Linked DNA regions of Arabidopsis thaliana. The protein of the gene in region 3 interacts with the protein of the main gene of each other region in a pairwise test. Each region holds a gene or a part of one and is shown on either strand. Other genes may lie near its edges.

Region 1 (4,373 bases), on a different chromosome or scaffold from region 3:
ATAAAACAAAGTATCATCAGTATATAGCTAGTTTCGAGATAGTATGTACAACTTTTAAATATTAATTACCTATGCTTAAATAGTAATAGTATTATGTATGTGCATGTGCTTTGTACATACAATTTTGTCTTCTTGTTGATTAATTATTAAACAGCTCGAAGTTTTAAGACTATGTAGCTTAGCCTATGTCAATGTCATCAATCTATATGCAATATATATAGAGCCTCAGGCACATAAACCGTAGTCCCCATATAAAAAAGGGAATGAAACAGCTAATAACTCCATAGAGAATAAATTCACATTCAAAGCAAATTCACCACCCCAATCTTCTCAATGGTTCGGTTTCTTTTTTCAATTCTTACATTGTACTAAAAGCTAAAAATTCAGACTGATACGATACGAATAGGTTTTTGAAAATATAAAAATTAATCAATTTCCATTAAAGGGCTGAATAGCTAAAAACTCCATAGAGAACAAGTCGCTTTATTGGATTTAGATTTTAAAAAGACGGCGCTCGTGAATTATTAAAGTTTAAACTAAGATAAGATTTAAAGAGATTTAGAGGAGACGTAATCTGGTGTATATCGTTCACATAGAGTCACGTCACTGTATAATCCATCGACCACTAAGGTTTTAGAGTTTAGTTTCAAATCTTACTTTTTCATGCAGGTGTACCGTATGTCACACAGATTATAGTAGTCGCCAACTTACGTTCCCAATGGGTGATAACGGCGTCAACGTCCTCCGTCACGATCGTGTCGTAAGCTGTACACTGTATAGGTTCCGTGAACCTTAAAATCGGATTTGGAAAGCTACGTACGTACGTAAATATTGGTTAAAAAGTTCAAACAGTTTTGATCTCTCTTTTATTACAAACAAACTGTACTTCCGACAATTTTCTTTCTTTCTATTTCAAGTACGTTTTCGTGTCTAACTATATTAACATCTAACTTCTGACTTTTATACTCTGATGGGACAATCTTTAATTCTTAAATTCTAAGTTGTACCATGCGAATGGATATTAGATTTTGTCAGTACAATTGCTGACTATGAATGAAGTACTCTAACATCATTATTGGTTCCTGAATAATGAGTACTTAAACAAAACAAATTTGAAGTAACGTAACCATGACATATTAGATCCATGTCCCCTAAAACGTATTAAAATTATTTCCTTACGTCGTTAAATTTCGAATCTAGTGTTAAATTGTTACATTGGTTGTTAAACTACCGACCCAATAAAAAAAAAGAAACTAATATTTATGATTGGTGCATCTTGTTGTAAATTGTAATCGTATGGCCTACCAGCGATTTCATTGTCCCCAACATACAGATATTTTTGTTCGTGTGTTATAAATTAGGGTAGAAACATCACATATTTTACAGAGACAAAGAAAAAAACAAGAATCGTAATAAAATGATATTATGGATACATGTAGATTATAAGATGAGAAATAATAATTTGTCACGGGTCCATCAGTATACTCGTCAAAATTGATTAGGTAGGTAATTTACTTCACATGCTCTTCCTGTATACAAGTATAAAGTATGTATTTTCATCTAAAATCTACTCTTTTCTCAATTACATTTTATATAGAAAAATTCATATTCTTAAGAAATAGTAGTAAAATTGTTCTTGAAAAAAAATATGAAAAGGCATTTTCCGTGACTCAGCCTCACAGGCGGCTTAAAACGACGTCTTTTTCAATTTTAATAAATTTTTGGTAAAAAAGCTTTTGGATCCGCCGCTATCTTCAGCAATTAAAGTTGGACGCAGAAACTCAGAAGCAAAAAGACGATAAATATTCATCATCACCTTCATCTCTCTCTTCCTCTCATCAGACTTCACCGTTCTTCTTTCTCTCTTCTTCATCTTCAGACGAAACCTCCTTTACTTCCCCTTCAAGGTTTTATATTTCCCAAATCCTACACCTGCTCACATCTCAAGCTCAAGTTTTGTTTTCCCGGGAAAAGTGACACAAACAAGAACTTAACAAGGGAGAAGAAAAAGCTTATATTCATATCAACGGTTGACGTTGGAAAGCTATTAAGATTTGGTTTTCTACAAATTTGTTCTTCCTGAAACGTCACGAGACAGAGCTTACAAGAAGAGAAAACAGAGGAAATTTCGTTGCATTTTTTTTACATATTGATTCGATTAATGGATTCAAATAATCATCTCTACGACCCGAATCCCACCGGGTCGGGTCTTCTTCGTTTTAGATCAGCTCCGAGCTCTGTTCTCGCCGCTTTTGTTGACGACGACAAGATTGGTTTCGACTCCGATAGGTTGCTTTCAAGATTCGTGACCTCTAATGGCGTTAACGGAGATCTGGGTTCACCTAAATTCGAGGATAAGTCTCCGGTTTCGTTAACGAACACCTCTGTTTCATACGCCGCCACTCTGCCGCCACCGCCGCAGCTTGAGCCGTCGAGTTTTCTGGGTTTGCCGCCGCATTACCCGAGGCAGAGTAAAGGGATAATGAACTCGGTTGGTTTGGATCAGTTTCTCGGTATCAATAATCATCACACCAAACCAGTTGAATCTAATCTTCTCCGTCAAAGCAGCTCTCCAGCCGGAATGTTTACTAATCTCTCTGACCAAAACGGTACCGTTTTGCTCTCTGCTACAAAGTTTTTCCCCCTTTTTTTAGTCTGAAATATTTTTTTCATTTATAACAGAAGTGTTTTTGGTACTTCTTGATTCAACTTTTTTGAATGTTTTAACACTTGCTTCAAGATTTTTGAATGTTTTACGTTCCTTGAGAATAATTTTAAGACAAGATCTGATTTGATTTTGTCAACCATAGAGTTAAAGCACTTTGGACTCAACAAATCTAATAAGTGTTTACTATATACTTACAAATTTGCAGGTTATGGTTCAATGAGGAATTTGATGAATTACGAAGAAGATGAAGAGAGTCCATCTAATTCCAATGGATTAAGACGCCATTGCAGTCTCTCTTCAAGGCCACCTTCTTCACTTGGAATGCTTTCTCAAATACCTGAAATCGCACCCGAAACTAATTTTCCATATAGCCATTGGAATGATCCATCCAGCTTTATTGATAACTTATCCTCACTTAAAAGAGAAGCCGAGGACGATGGAAAATTGTTTCTCGGAGCTCAGGTAACTCGGTTATCTAACCGGTTTGTTTTGGTTATTGATCAGTAGCTGAAAGTGGAGTTGATTTCTTGGAGTGGTTTCTAATGATGTTTTTGATGGGTTTCTACAGAACGGAGAGTCCGGGAATCGTATGCAGTTACTGTCGCATCATTTGAGCCTACCAAAGTCATCATCGACAGCCTCGGACATGGTTTCAGTGGATAAGTATCTTCAGCTACAAGATTCTGTTCCTTGTAAAATCAGAGCCAAACGTGGTTGCGCTACACATCCTCGAAGCATCGCTGAACGGGTAACTTCACCTAGTTAAGGCCATCTTTACATATATCAATGGAAGTCCATTTGAAGCAGAATCTAGTTTGTTTTCAGAAAGCCTTTCCTAAGAAATCTTGTCAATTGTGTCAGGTAAGAAGAACGCGGATAAGCGAGCGAATGAGGAAGTTACAAGAGCTTGTTCCTAACATGGACAAGGTACAGTTTTCAGGAACTTCCTTGTAATGACTTTTGATCATAAACAAATTGTTAAATGATGTTGTTTTCTTTATGTTTTAACAGCAAACCAACACTTCGGATATGTTGGATTTAGCTGTGGATTACATCAAAGATTTACAAAGACAGTATAAGGTAAAGTTCCTGATCATTGTGGAAAAAAAACAAAGGGGCCTGTTTAGTCTTCTGTTGAATTGATTTAGTCTTCTGTTGGTTTTACACAGATTTTAAACGACAACAGAGCTAACTGTAAGTGTATGAACAAGGAGAAGAAGTCAATATAGGGCGCAACAAAGTGTGTAGTAGATAGGACTAAAAAGCAGGGAGAAGGACAAGAAAGAAACAATGTCATGTCTGAATATTTTTTAGCCGAAACAGACCAAATTGTCTATGTAAGCTCTCGAGAAAAGCATCTGCTTCCAACAAAATTCTAAGTAATAAAATAGTACTCGATTTGTTCTTATTTCATTATTACAATGCAGAATCTACTAATCAAATGTTGTACTACAAAAGGTAAGATCAACTACGGTAGCTAAATGCGAAAATTATGACCAGAAGAACAAAGAAAGACTCGAAAACTAAGCAGAAAACATAAATTATTCTTCCATGTGATCTGCAGCGTCAGAATCTTTGATATCACCAGTAAGACTACTCCTGGTCACAACCAAAGTAAGAATCACACATGAAGTAGAGTGTATACGACTTCTCTCCTGGTTCAGTTGGTACTGCAAACTCCAGCTACGATGCAGAATCTAGTAAG
Region 2 (5,289 bases), on a different chromosome or scaffold from region 3:
TTTTCCACCGTGTTTCTAAATAGTGGGATTCTTTCGAGTTTCGATCAAATGATTTTTCGCTTAGATTTCGTTTTGCATCACATATTTAAGTTGTTGCTTCCCTCTATTGGTTAAAGCGACCAAACAACTTTGTTACACAGCAACCCTAAGTCGTGTCATAGCCATCTAATTCTCACATCTTCTATACCGCATAAAAGTTCGATAATTATTAATTAGACTAATGGAAAGATGCCACCTAGTTAATATACAAATTAAGTTGGGATATCGTCTCTTATTCTTACATATGTCAACATCAAGAATACTTTGTTTTAAGCATGACATGATTACATTAATAAAGCATTACCCCACACGCCGAAATGTTATTCTTATTTTTATCCGTGAATTTTTTCTATGATCAAATTTGTCCGTCTAAGTGGATTGAATGCAAATGTGAGTGTTTAATTCCCATCATCAGTTGGAAGATCAGGGATTCTTTTTGTACAAGATTGGAAGATCAGGTTTTTGAGTTGAATATGGTTTGATCATCATCATTTTACGAACATTCGAAACTTGCATAGTCGAGTAATTTTTATCTCTCAATTTCTGTTTCTTAATCAATATCCACGTAAGTTTTTTTTTTTTTTTTTTTTAAACAGTTGTTTTTAAGTATCAAAGACATGGGAACCAGACAGTTGAAAATATATTTTTAAGACAAATTTACATATTTTAAATGTCTTCTAATCTTAATATTTTAAATGTTTTCTAATATTATCTTGTTTTAAAAAAAGAACACATATTTTCAAATTATATGATATTGTTGTTACTATTATTTCTTTTTTTACTATAAATTTTGTGACAATATATATATATATATATATATATATTAACCATTTTTCGGCGGTATAAAATAGTTTACCACCGAGTAATTGCATTCAATCGCACGACCAACAAGTTATAGTATTATTCACTTTGCCCCAAACTAAAAGTTTATTTTAGAAAATTCATTAACAGTAAATTTCATTTCCTTCAAAATACATTTTTGTTCTGTTTTTATTTATTTATTTAATATATTAACATTTATCATGTATGATGATTGATGAAGATGATTTTCTCAACATTTCTCTCCTTTTTTTTTTGTCTCTCAACATTTCTCTCCTATATAAAATTTAAACTATTGAACGAATGTTACTGCTACGAAATTATAATATTTACTCTAAGTTGTCATCAGGATTCTATTACTTTAAAAGCCAAAATTTACTAATCAAAAACTAGTTGATAGATTGTAAAATTAATTAAGCACATTTATTGATTTAAAATTTATTTTTTACTCTACAAATCGTGATTTCCAAGAGTTGTATCTATATAAAGGCAATATGCTTTCGGACCCATGCATGGTCTTGATGTTTTTTTACGGTTATTCCATTACGGGTAGGGTTATGTGATAAACGATATGATTTCATATAAAAAGAATAAATCAGCGGTCATTGTCTCCGCATGGTTCGGGGAAAAAATACTCGTATAAATAAGCCTTTAGATTTCGAATTTATAAAGCTTTGACGTCGGCTGATACATAGAAACAAAAAAAAACTTTGATGTCAAGCTCTCTTTCCTCTTCCTGTCCATCAATACGCGTTACACACGCACAATAGAAGCAAATTATTGTTTGAATACCTAAAAGAGGATAGACGACATAATTATCACCGCAAACACTCTAAATTTTGGGATATAGCTTTCATTAGATTACATTTTGACTCACATGGTATACGGCAAAAAAATATTAAATTCATGGCAACGTATAAAGTTGATATTTCAACATGTTATAATTTCTCTCTCTTCGAACATGAGTGTAACAAGACGAACCCCAAAGCCTGCAAAAACACACAGAATCTTTTCTTTGGTTTTGTGGACCGGTCTACAATCTCACGTGCAAAACCAAACATACACGATCTCTCTCTCTCTATATCTCTACTTTTTCTGAACTCAGTTGGTTTCGATTTTCTTCGGACCTTCTATTGTTAAATCAGCTTTATAACCTCACAAGCTTCTCCTCTATTCCATAGATCAAACCACAACTTTGTTTGACCTTTTTTTGAGTACTTCTCTTGTCTTTTCTTCTTCAAGTTTACTTAGTTCTTTGAGAACAAATTTCTGTTGATTTTTTTTCTTTCTTGTAGAGGGATAATTACAAGTTTAATTTCCCTAGAGTGTCTTTACCTTTTGCCTTGTCTCCCTCTCGAGACAAAAAGAGAAAGAGAAACACTTTCTGTCCTCTTTTTTTTTCCTCTCTTTTTCTCTCTCGCTGGAAACCTTTTCATATTCAAGTGTAATTTTAATATTTCAAGCAATTTTCTAGCTAATTATGGCCTTGGAGGCTGTAGTTTACCCGCAAGATCCGTTCTCCTACATCTCTTGCAAAGATTTTCCGTTTTACGACTTATACTTTCAAGAAGAAGAAGATCAAGATCCACAAGATACTAAGAACAACATTAAGCTAGGGCAAGGACAAGGACATGGTTTTGCGAGTAATAATTACAACGGTAGAACCGGAGATTATAGTGATGATTATAATTACAACGAAGAGGATCTCCAATGGCCACGAGACCTTCCTTATGGATCTGCCGTCGACACCGAGAGCCAGCCTCCACCGTCGGATGTGGCGGCGGGAGGAGGGAGGAGGAAAAGGAGGAGGACGAGGAGTAGCAAGAACAAAGAAGAGATCGAGAACCAGAGGATGACTCACATCGCCGTTGAAAGAAATCGCCGGAAACAGATGAACGAGTACCTCGCCGTTCTCCGGTCTCTCATGCCACCTTATTATGCTCAAAGGGTTAGTCTCTACATACAACAGTTATATGTATATGTGAGTGTGAGCGCGTGAAATATTCAGTCCTTTAGCTGTATTTCTTGACGTGTCAAAAAAAAAAAAAAAAAGCAAAGCCTATGTTCTAGGCTTTCAGCTAATTAGGACATGCATAGGCTATACATAGATATGTCATATGCATGTATGTTTATATGTTTTGAAATATAAATTTGAGAATGATGATAGATGAATGAAAGCCGTTATATATATTGACAAAAAATAAAAACTAAACGAAAGTCGTTATTTCTTTTTTTCATAATTTTATTAGATCATGTAGTCTCTAAATGAAAATTTTGTTAGTGGAATTGTGGGAGCATAAATAAAGTCTTGAACATCATTGCACCCAAAAAGGACTATACATATTATAGATTTATAATGAGATGGTGACATAATATATTTTTTAAAAAATTAAGGTACGAAATATAGACATGTTTGATTGTTTTTGCAAAACCTTTTGCAATTTCTATGTGCTAGACTAACATAAGGTTGGTGGTGGTTAAAGGGAGATCAAGCATCGATAGTAGGCGGAGCCATTAACTACTTAAAGGAGCTTGAGCATCATTTACAATCAATGGAACCTCCGGTTAAGACCGCCACAGAAGACACCGGAGCCGGCCACGACCAGACCAAAACAACCTCGGCTAGTTCGTCGGGACCATTCTCGGATTTCTTTGCATTTCCTCAGTACTCGAACCGGCCTACCTCTGCGGCGGCGGCTGAGGGGATGGCGGAGATAGAGGTAACGATGGTAGAGAGCCATGCGAGTCTGAAAATACTTGCGAAAAAGAGACCGAGACAGCTTCTTAAACTGGTCTCATCGATACAGAGCCTAAGGCTCACTCTTCTCCATCTAAACGTCACAACTCGAGACGACTCCGTCCTCTATTCCATCAGCGTCAAGGTACATTTTTTTCTCTCTTTTTCACCATTTTTTGTTTTTTTTTTCCTAACCAGATTAGAGTGATCATGTTATATAATACCGTTGTTTAGGGTTAGTGGGTTGAATTTGCAAATTCAAATTAAATTGGTATCTAATAATTAATGGGTGACTAATCATTACTCCCATTGTTGGTTTTGGTTCAATGATTATTCATTGATTGTTTTTCCAATCACAAATGTTTTGTGCATTTAATGTGTCTCTTATTAGTACATGTTGTGAATTATTTGTCTGGGCCAAAAAAGGTTTTCCAAGAACAAAAATAAAAATCGTTCCTTTTTTCTCGTTCTTTTTTACTTGGTTAGGGCTGGCCTCAATTATTGGGGGGTCAAAATCATCATTTCTTATTTATTAAAAAAGACAAAATTTTGAGTACTATCATAATATTGATTCTTGTAAGAATCAGGGACCAAAAAGATGACATATGCCTACACATGTGTGAATGTGTGTATATATATATGTGTACTGGGCATGTTTGGTGGTCACAACACTGTGGATGCACTGTGCACGGCAGAACGAAATGACGCCACTTGTTTCAGGACACATTCATAAGCTTCTTCCTCGAAATATAAACATTTTCTTTAATCATCTTTTTACCTTTTCAATGACTATATATCAATCTTTTTCATGTAACTTAAAAGAAAATATTAAAATAATGGGTTTATTCAGGTTGAAGAAGGGAGCCAATTGAATACAGTAGAAGATATTGCAGCAGCTGTGAATCAAATCCTAAGGAGGATCGAAGAAGAGTCATCCTTTAGCTAGTATTGTTGAATTTTAGTTATGGCACATTTAGAGGAGCTCTAATTTTTCATGTGTGATCTTTTGCTCTCTCTTTTTCATATATTAAATAATATAAATTTCCTTTTTCTTTTTGTTAACGTTAATTCTAATGCATTATATATTGGAGTTTTTGTGTGATTGACCTTTTAGACCTGATCACAAAAGAGGAACTAGCTTTTAAGAGCTCTATACGAGAATAGTAATTATAAGCTTGAGCAATTGAATTTTCCCACACATAAAAAAAAGGCTTGAACAATTTGACTGGTTATGAGATAGCTGAAAAAAATTCAACCACACTTATATAAATATACCGGTATGAGTCATGTGAAGGCGTCCCTAAAAGACTCGGTATATCGTGAATAACCGGCTTTGCACGGTTCGTTTAAGAAGGAATTAGTTAGAATAGTATATTTTGTGAAGTAATGTCTAAATATGCGCTAATTAAGAAAAAAGTTTGATGAGACTCTCATGGTCTGAATCAGATGTTTTGAACACCCATGACATCTAAGACACCCGCAAAGGGCCACATATACGATCGTAAATAATAATCTAGTCTGGGGTCGGAGAACACTTAAGTTCTAATCGGAGAGACTTTTCAGACTCAATCCACCACTAGTTTTTGGGTAAGCAAACATAGTTTAAAACTATATTTGCACATTCGCAAAAGGGAGATCCCTTTCCAAAGAAACACATTGAAAATTCTCTTTAGCTTATTCATAATTATTATTCT
Region 3 (3,002 bases):
AATTTCCAGATATATTTGCTGCATCAAAATATTGGTAATGTGATTAATGATGAACGAAAAATAACATAACATACACTAACACATAGCTGTTCAGAACACCACTGAGTTGATAAGTTTTAGAACTGATTTTTCTTATATTTCTCTTTAAGTTTGATTTACAACAGATAGAAACAATTCATGAACAAACCAAATACAGAACAAAAAGTAGCCCTGGGAATGAGTTATAGAGCATCCCTTACCCTCCCAAGGCCAAGACCATCCAAAAATACCTGATAATCCCTATCTGTTTCTTTCCAAACTATATAGACCACTTGAGCAGCCATTCTACACAAGACACAAACTATAAAACTTTCTTCATGTCTTTATCATCCAATCTTTCTTTTTTGGGTTATCATCATTCACCACTGCCCAATTACTTAAGCTCCTCATAAGATCAATAAAGTCCTTTCTGATTCATACAAATGCAGTTGCTGCAAATTTGGTTGGAAATGTCAGAAAACCACTCAGCTCCAATAAGATGATCATCAAAAAAGTTTTGGATGAAACTAAAGATGACTGCTTTAGCCTTAAGGTGAAATGCAATGCATTGTAGCTACCATGCAGCTAATTTTCAAAGCTGGAACTAGTTTTAACAATTCTCTAGATGAAAGTAGCAGACCAACTGATATTGTTATAGATGGAACAAAATCGAGTAGAGAGGTCATATACATTCTGAAATCAATAGCATCCAAGGCGAGATGATTTCTGCAGTATTGGCTGATTAAACTATCCCTGACCCAAGTCTGGTAAGAAGAAGAAAAGACGGCGTCGCGCCTCCTTTGTCGGAGAAGAAGAGTCGAAGAAGACAAGCAAAGGCAACAAAGCAAAGAGAAGTTGGGCCGTGTGGCTTATTAAAAAGGTTATTGGGCTATAGTTAAGCCCATGTACTATTTGGGTTTTAGTTGGTTAAGTTTCAGGGTTTTTTTTTTTTAAAAAGTAGATTTCTACGATAAATGTGTGTGTGAAGATGTTGAAAGTTGAAACTTCATAAATAAGGTTCCTGAAGAATTCAACATTCTTGGTTGATCATATAATACTCTCTCACGATTGACAGTCCAAATGACTTTCAACTCTTTAATCTAAAGTCTAAACCACAATCTAAATCCGGTTTAAACGCAGTCACGATTCCATCATTGATGATGTCTTATATCACACACATAGATTAGGCCTTAGGGTATCAAATAGTGTTTTAGGTGAGAAAAGCAGTTGTCAGATTTTGATTTTTAAGAATGCAATCATTTGACTTTTAGTTTGACTTCCTTTTGGTTCTTCTTAGCCACTCTTTCTCATATTCTACACGTGCTCATTAACGTTCCAAAGTCAATAAAAAATCACGAAGCCAACAATAAAATGTGCAACAAATAATATTAAACATGTTAGACAGACGAAAGAGAATTATTCTTTATACGTATTTAACATAATGTGCCTTGTCGGTTACCAAACAAAATAAAATATGGCTTGTTAGTGGTCGGTAATATGTAACACGTTGTGTGTTTGTTGTCCTTGTCAAACCAGCAATGCTGCTTAATTTATTTAGATAGGAACCCAAGTTTAAAGAAGACTTTTTTTTTGGTCAAGTAAGAAAATGTCAAAACCTCTGAAACTTTCTTTATTTTGTTTATAAATACATTACTCCATGAATACGTTACAAAGATCTTAATCTCACAAGTCTCACATTTTCTAGGTGGACCAACCAAAACCCAAAATCTTTAATTCCCTCTATAGTGCTCTTTTCTCTTTTCGAAATACAACCGTAAAAACATGAAGAGAGACCGGTCCGATTACGAAGAATCCATGAAGCATATAGACATAGTAGAAAGTCTAATGATGTTATCTCGAAGTTTCGTGGTCAAACAAATCGATGTAAAGCAATCTACCGGAAGCAAAACGAACCATAATAACCACTTCGAATGCAAAACGTGTAACCGGAAATTTGATTCCTTCCAAGCTCTTGGAGGTCATAGAGCTAGCCACAAGAAACCTAAGCTGATCGTTGACCAAGAACAGGTGAAGCATCGTAACAAAGAGAATGATATGCATAAGTGTACAATTTGCGATCAAATGTTTGGGACCGGTCAAGCTCTAGGCGGTCACATGAGAAAGCATAGGACGAGCATGATAACCGAGCAATCGATTGTCCCTTCTGTGGTTTATTCCAGACCGGTTTTTAATCGTTGCAGTAGCAGCAAGGAGATCTTGGACTTAAATCTAACTCCATTGGAAAATGATCTTGTGTTAATCTTTGGGAAGAATTTGGTTCCACAAATTGATTTGAAGTTTGTGAATTAGTAGGGTTTTAAACCTTTCTCTGTACTTTTGTTGTTGTTTTTTTCTCTCTTGCTACACATTATTTCATTCTTTCCGTCATGTATGCATACACAATTTGTTTGAATAAAAGGTTTCAATTCTTGCAATGAGTGATAAAACATTAATAGTTGAAAGTTTGAAACAGAACCATTCTCGAATGTATACATAGAATCCAATATCATTGGTGTGTGAGTGAGATAAACTGATATTATCATAAGTCATAATCTGATGTCAGAGAATCCATTCCAGAAATATGGAATACGAATTGTGTCCTTCACAGTCACACTATACCATTAGGGAAAGAGAGAATCTTAAAAGAATACGTAGAAACACCATCTCATATAGAAGAAAAGCAAAAGAAGATTGATTTCCTTTTTCATTTTTTCTTTCCAAATACCATTTCTCTTTCACTAGCCAGATTCTCTCCTTTGACAGGCGTCGTGGACCCAATTTTTATGTGCCGCAACATGCTGATTTCTGAGTAGCTTGAGATGTTCCCGCACCTTGGTCGGATTGGTTGATTTTGATTGTTTGCGGCTACAAAAATGATAAGAAATTCGATGACGTTAGTAAGGTTGATACACATACTGAAATGTGATTTTTACCACAATTGCAATGTATGAATGATGACAGTGGAAATTAATTCTATAGCTCAA
Region 4 (4,621 bases), on a different chromosome or scaffold from region 3:
TGGGTGGAGGGTCCAAACATGTGATTATCATAAAGTTGAGGTAATTATGCAAAGTAAAATTAATCTTACAAATAAAGACACTTAAAATAGTATGTTTGGAGTTTTGTTAGGTGAGATAATAACTAACGTCATATATGTTGTCACACATGTAATTTCAACAAATTTTTATTTATTATTCGATTTGGACCGATTATACTAAATTCAATTGCGTTTCGGTATTATTAGTCATGTGGTTAAAGAAAATTCCATGTGGTTAAAGGAAATTTTGTTTGGATCACAAAATATTTGGTTCAGTTTTTTTCCTTTTCTTATGTCTAATTTGAATAAAAAACAAACTCTGGTCTTCGATCTAAAATGTAAAGTTAGAACCTGAACTTTCTATCGTTCTCAAATACAATGATAGAAATCATGGCCAATCTTTTTGGTGCACACTCCATTGTCTGCACTCTGCACAGTAACTGTTACATCATGATTCATGGAATAGTATGTTTGAAATCTTTTGAGAGTTTTCGTGAAAATGGAAGAGACCCCGCTGGGCCGTAATTAATGGGCTTGAAATACGTCTTTGCTATGCTACGTAAATTGATGGACCTGGCTTTGCAAAATTGGAACCAACAAACAACTCTTTTTCACATATCCGTTTGTTTTAATTTTTTAACTTTTAAGTCTATGATCAGATTCAGATACACACATAATGTACGATCGAATATACTTACAACTTCTACATAGTAATATATGAGAACCGATCTAACTATATAAACTTAAAAAGTTATAATTTTACAGAAGAAGTATTAATAGCAAACAAGTGTTAAGTAATTAGGACTTAGCTTTAGATTCCATCACCTGAAAAGTGCGGTTGGTTGGCCAACAAGATATGCTCTGGCTCCCACCAAAAAGAAAAAAGAAAAGGGTTGATTTTGTAATAAAGCAAAAGGTTTGGGTAGCGTCAGAAGGCTTTGTCTACACACGCTCCACCACCAATCTCTTCAACTCGCTGATTCTCTAATATTTTATTTATTCTTTTTGCAACCCCAAAGTTTCTTTTTCTTTTGAGGAAACCCCCCCATACATTCTTCTTCTAACTTATGCTTTAATTTGGATATATATTCTTATTGAAACCGATTTATTTAAGAAGATTAAGCCCTTAAACAAATGTTTTCAAATTGCTATATAAAATACGCTTCCCCATGTTGTGTATTTCTTTTTTTTCTTAATCTTTACCATTTCAAAGCCGCCAACAAACAAAATAATTAACCAAAACGTGTTTGTTAGAATATAATCTAGAATATAACCCAAAATTATAAACTTTCGCTTTGGACGATGTTCATTGTGAATTCTAAATTCTTCATTGGTTTTGATTGTCGTCAACATATTTATATCATCATTTAACATTTGTTCGAGATAGTGTGAACACATAATTTTGGCTGTTCGTCTACAGTGTGAATACATGCCACATTGCCACCGTATTATTTGTATGTTATTTGTGACTCAACCAAGATTTTGTTTAGGTGCTGTTCCGAAAGCATCATCAAAAAAAAAAATGTGTACAAAGTTTATTAGGTTAGTTTTAACATAGCAATAACACTAAACTAAATAAACCTAAAATTAGTTTTATCACTAATTTTGATGGTAAAAAATAGGAGGCATGACGTCAACTTCTCCATTCTTAAATTCGATTTCTATAGAAACTTTTTTACTTCTACTTTTTTTTTTTGTTTTTTTACTTTTACTTGATCGAACAAAATAGTGTCGGAAAACAAACACAAATAAAATTTACAGGATGAAGAATAGAAAAAGAAAAAAAAAAAAGAAGCAAAAGAGAGAGAGAAGTGGAGAAGAAGATGGGTTTAGTGGAAATCATGTTGACCCCAAACAGTATCTGCTTCGACGTCACCTCTCACCTTATTCCTTCGATTCCCCATTTTTCACTTTTCTTATATTTTCTCCACCTCTCTGTCTCTTTTGCTTGCTTCCTATACACAGTTCTTCTCTGTTCCTCTAATCGGTAAGTCTTATTCTTCGATCCTCTGTTTATGATTTCGTTCACCTCAATTGCATTAGATGGAAGATAAGAAACTCGAAAATTTCGTCTTAATTTATTTGTTCCACTGATGATCATGTTGTGTGATTGCTTTCTTGATAAAGTATTGATTTTTATCTTTGTTTCTTGTTAGGGTTTGAATCTTTTCGTCAATTTCTATCTGGGTTTTGTGTTAATCGAAGGAATAAGTGAATCGTCGTCTTGGGTTTTCTCTATTTAGAAGAAAGCTTCCTCCTTTAGGGTTTCTGCATCAGTTATTGAATTGCTAGTTGTCGTTGAAGAAAGCAGAAATTGATTATAGTGTTGCTGATGGATTCTTGGAGCTACGGGAGAAGCGTTTTCATGTCAAATGAAACTCTTTTACCTTGTGATACTTTTGCTAAGAATAGAAGATTTGAACAGAGACTCTCTAATAATGATGATGTGTTGATTTCTGACATGGCTGGTAACTCCAATGGATTCAGTGCTGTTTCTATTACTAAAGTTGTTCCTGAAGAGGAAGATGAGGAGAACATATCTTCTTCTTCAAAGTTCTCTAGTCAGGAATTGAATAGGATAGATTTCAAACTTAGGAGCTTTTTGGATTTAGGAAATGATGATGATGATACATCCTCTAGAGGTTTTGCTCTGCCATCTAAAAAGTCTCGAGCTTCAAACTTGTGCTCTCAGAATCCCTTGTGTCAAGTTTATGGGTGTAGTAAGGATCTGAGCTCTTCGAAAGATTACCACAAAAGGCATAGAGTTTGCGAGGCTCATTCGAAAACTTCTGTGGTCATAGTTAATGGTCTTGAACAGAGGTTTTGTCAACAGTGCAGCAGGTTTTATTCTTTCTCCTCTCAAGTTGTCTCATGCTCTGTAGTCATTTCAATGTTCTTGATGGATCTTGATCGTTTGTTTCTTTTACCTTTTTCTTCTGTTCAGGTTTCATTTCCTCTCAGAGTTTGATGATGGCAAAAGAAGTTGCAGAAGGCGATTAGCCGGTCACAATGAACGAAGAAGGAAACCTGCATTCTATTTCCTACCGGGTAAGCGCCATAAGCTTCTTCGCACCTCTCAAGGTACTCACTCTCTGCCTTTTCCCTATCCATTGATGTATTGAATTAGCAAACTCGTGCAAATTTGAATCTATTCTGTATTTTATGATCTTCCATAGATGTAGTAGGCAACAAGTTTCTGGAGAATTCATCATTGGTATTGCCAGAGTCATTTCCTGGTAGTCTCTTATACAGAGTAATAGATGAAGACGACCACCGTACAAGTAGACTCGTGAGTTTCAAAGATGAACCTACTTGTTCCATGTTTCCTACTAATGAGCAAAACAGCAGCAGAACTTATGAATCTAAACCAGCAATTTATTCCACGGAAGTATCCTCCATTTGGGACTTACATGAGACGGCGGCATCACGCTCTACTCGTGCTCTCTCTCTTCTGTCAGCTCAGTCCCAACAACACTTGTCTAAGTTTCCAAACACAACGTTCTCAATCACCCAACCCAACCAAAATCTCAATCACTCATCATCAACTGACTATCATCAGATGGAACAACCGTTGTGGATCGATCCTGGCAAGACCAATTCTGCTGGTTCTAGTTCTTGTAAAGGAAAAGGAACATCCACGGTTGATCTACTGCAACTGTCATCACATCTTCAAAGAATCGAGCAACAGAGGAATTACACTGGTGATGTGAAGCAGGAATATAATGAGCTTTATTTCCCTGGCTCCTAATAAAAGGTTACAACATTCTTATTCCTTTAAACCGGTTCGAGTTTCTTGAGATTGTTCTGCAGAAGGACAAGACAAGCCTGCATGGCTTGATTAGTTTGTGATTAGATAGAGGAATTAAGAGGATCAGATCATGTTACACGTATTATTGTAATTTGTAACTGTTGTGTTATTATTCACCAGTCAATAATGTTCTGAAGAAAATTGCTTCAGATATCTATGCCTACTTCCTTTTCACAGCGTTACAGACAATTTGTATATATACATGTAATGAATATTCGCTGAAAAAGTGAATTTTTACTTTTGTTTTGTTTTGTTCTGTACACTCACGTCATCTGAGGACTGATCTGAGATTCTCGAGTTCGAAGTTACGATGTTGAAAGTTGCAAATCATTGGGGAAAAGAAAAAGTGTCCCAGATGGAATTAAGGAATACGCATATAAAATTTTGATAGGATTAAGACAAATAAAGACCAGACATAAACGTCCAAAGGGACATAGCAAGTGACGTTACTTTCAAATCTAAAGACAGACAGAAATATAAAGTCATAAAAACTAAGGCAACATCATTTTCTGCAACATGACATACATAAGAAAATTACACAGAAGAACAACACAAGATGAGAAAAACGACGCAGCCACTCGCACACGTGCATGCGTTTGTTATTTTTAGGCTTCTTTTCCCCTGAGTTTTGTTCACTTCTTCTCACCGAATCCCAAGCCCTAATTGAACAAAACATTTTAAATCTTTATATAATGTATATAAATATGTCCTTATGCAGACTTAGTTTGTATAGCTTACATGGATCATGTTGTGGCCTCCGGAAGTAATGGAAGTAGGAGAGTTGGGTATGTACTT

The links.
Region 1: the proteins of AT3G53600 (region 3) and FBH4 interact in a two-hybrid assay, tested with the Arabidopsis thaliana proteins (one large-scale study listed by BioGRID).
Region 2: the proteins of AT3G53600 (region 3) and AT1G72210 interact in a two-hybrid assay, tested with the Arabidopsis thaliana proteins (one large-scale study listed by BioGRID).
Region 4: the proteins of AT3G53600 (region 3) and AT1G69170 interact in a two-hybrid assay, tested with the Arabidopsis thaliana proteins (one large-scale study listed by BioGRID).

What each region holds. Positions count from the first base shown.
Region 1 is NC_003071.7:17,610,952-17,615,324, reverse strand, and holds FBH4 (basic helix-loop-helix (bHLH) DNA-binding superfamily protein), read left to right. Parts: upstream 1-1,733; 5' UTR 1,734-2,161; coding exon 2,162-2,609; intron 2,610-2,873; coding exon 2,874-3,130; intron 3,131-3,236; coding exon 3,237-3,416; coding exon of another isoform or gene 3,417-3,434; exon of another isoform or gene 3,435-3,529; coding exon 3,530-3,595; intron 3,596-3,679; coding exon 3,680-3,811; downstream 3,812-4,373.
Region 2 is NC_003070.9:27,177,728-27,183,016, forward strand, and holds AT1G72210 (basic helix-loop-helix (bHLH) DNA-binding superfamily protein), read left to right. Parts: upstream 1-1,730; 5' UTR 1,731-2,338; coding exon 2,339-2,806; intron 2,807-3,341; coding exon 3,342-3,740; coding exon of another isoform or gene 3,741-3,803; exon of another isoform or gene 3,804-4,445; coding exon 4,446-4,541; 3' UTR 4,542-4,729; downstream 4,730-5,289.
Region 3 is NC_003074.8:19,873,732-19,876,733, forward strand, and holds AT3G53600 (C2H2-type zinc finger family protein), read left to right. Parts: upstream 1-1,643; 5' UTR 1,644-1,800; coding exon 1,801-2,328; 3' UTR 2,329-2,446; downstream 2,447-3,002. Other genes in the region: RAB8 (RAB GTPase homolog 8), read right to left, coding at 2,800-2,883. UniProt on the Arabidopsis thaliana protein: Transcription factor involved in stress responses. Positive regulator of the jasmonic acid (JA)- mediated signaling pathway. Triggers the up-regulation of LOX3, VSP2, PAL1 and PAL2 in a JA-dependent manner.
Region 4 is NC_003070.9:26,003,276-26,007,896, forward strand, and holds AT1G69170 (Squamosa promoter-binding protein-like (SBP domain) transcription factor family protein), read left to right. Parts: upstream 1-1,792; 5' UTR 1,793-2,005; intron 2,006-2,174; 5' UTR 2,175-2,350; coding exon 2,351-2,859; intron 2,860-2,962; coding exon 2,963-3,099; intron 3,100-3,194; coding exon 3,195-3,766; 3' UTR 3,767-4,093; downstream 4,094-4,621. Other genes in the region: CRC (Plant-specific transcription factor YABBY family protein), read right to left, coding at 4,459-4,485, 4,565-4,621. UniProt on the Arabidopsis thaliana protein: Trans-acting factor that binds specifically to the consensus nucleotide sequence 5'-TNCGTACAA-3'.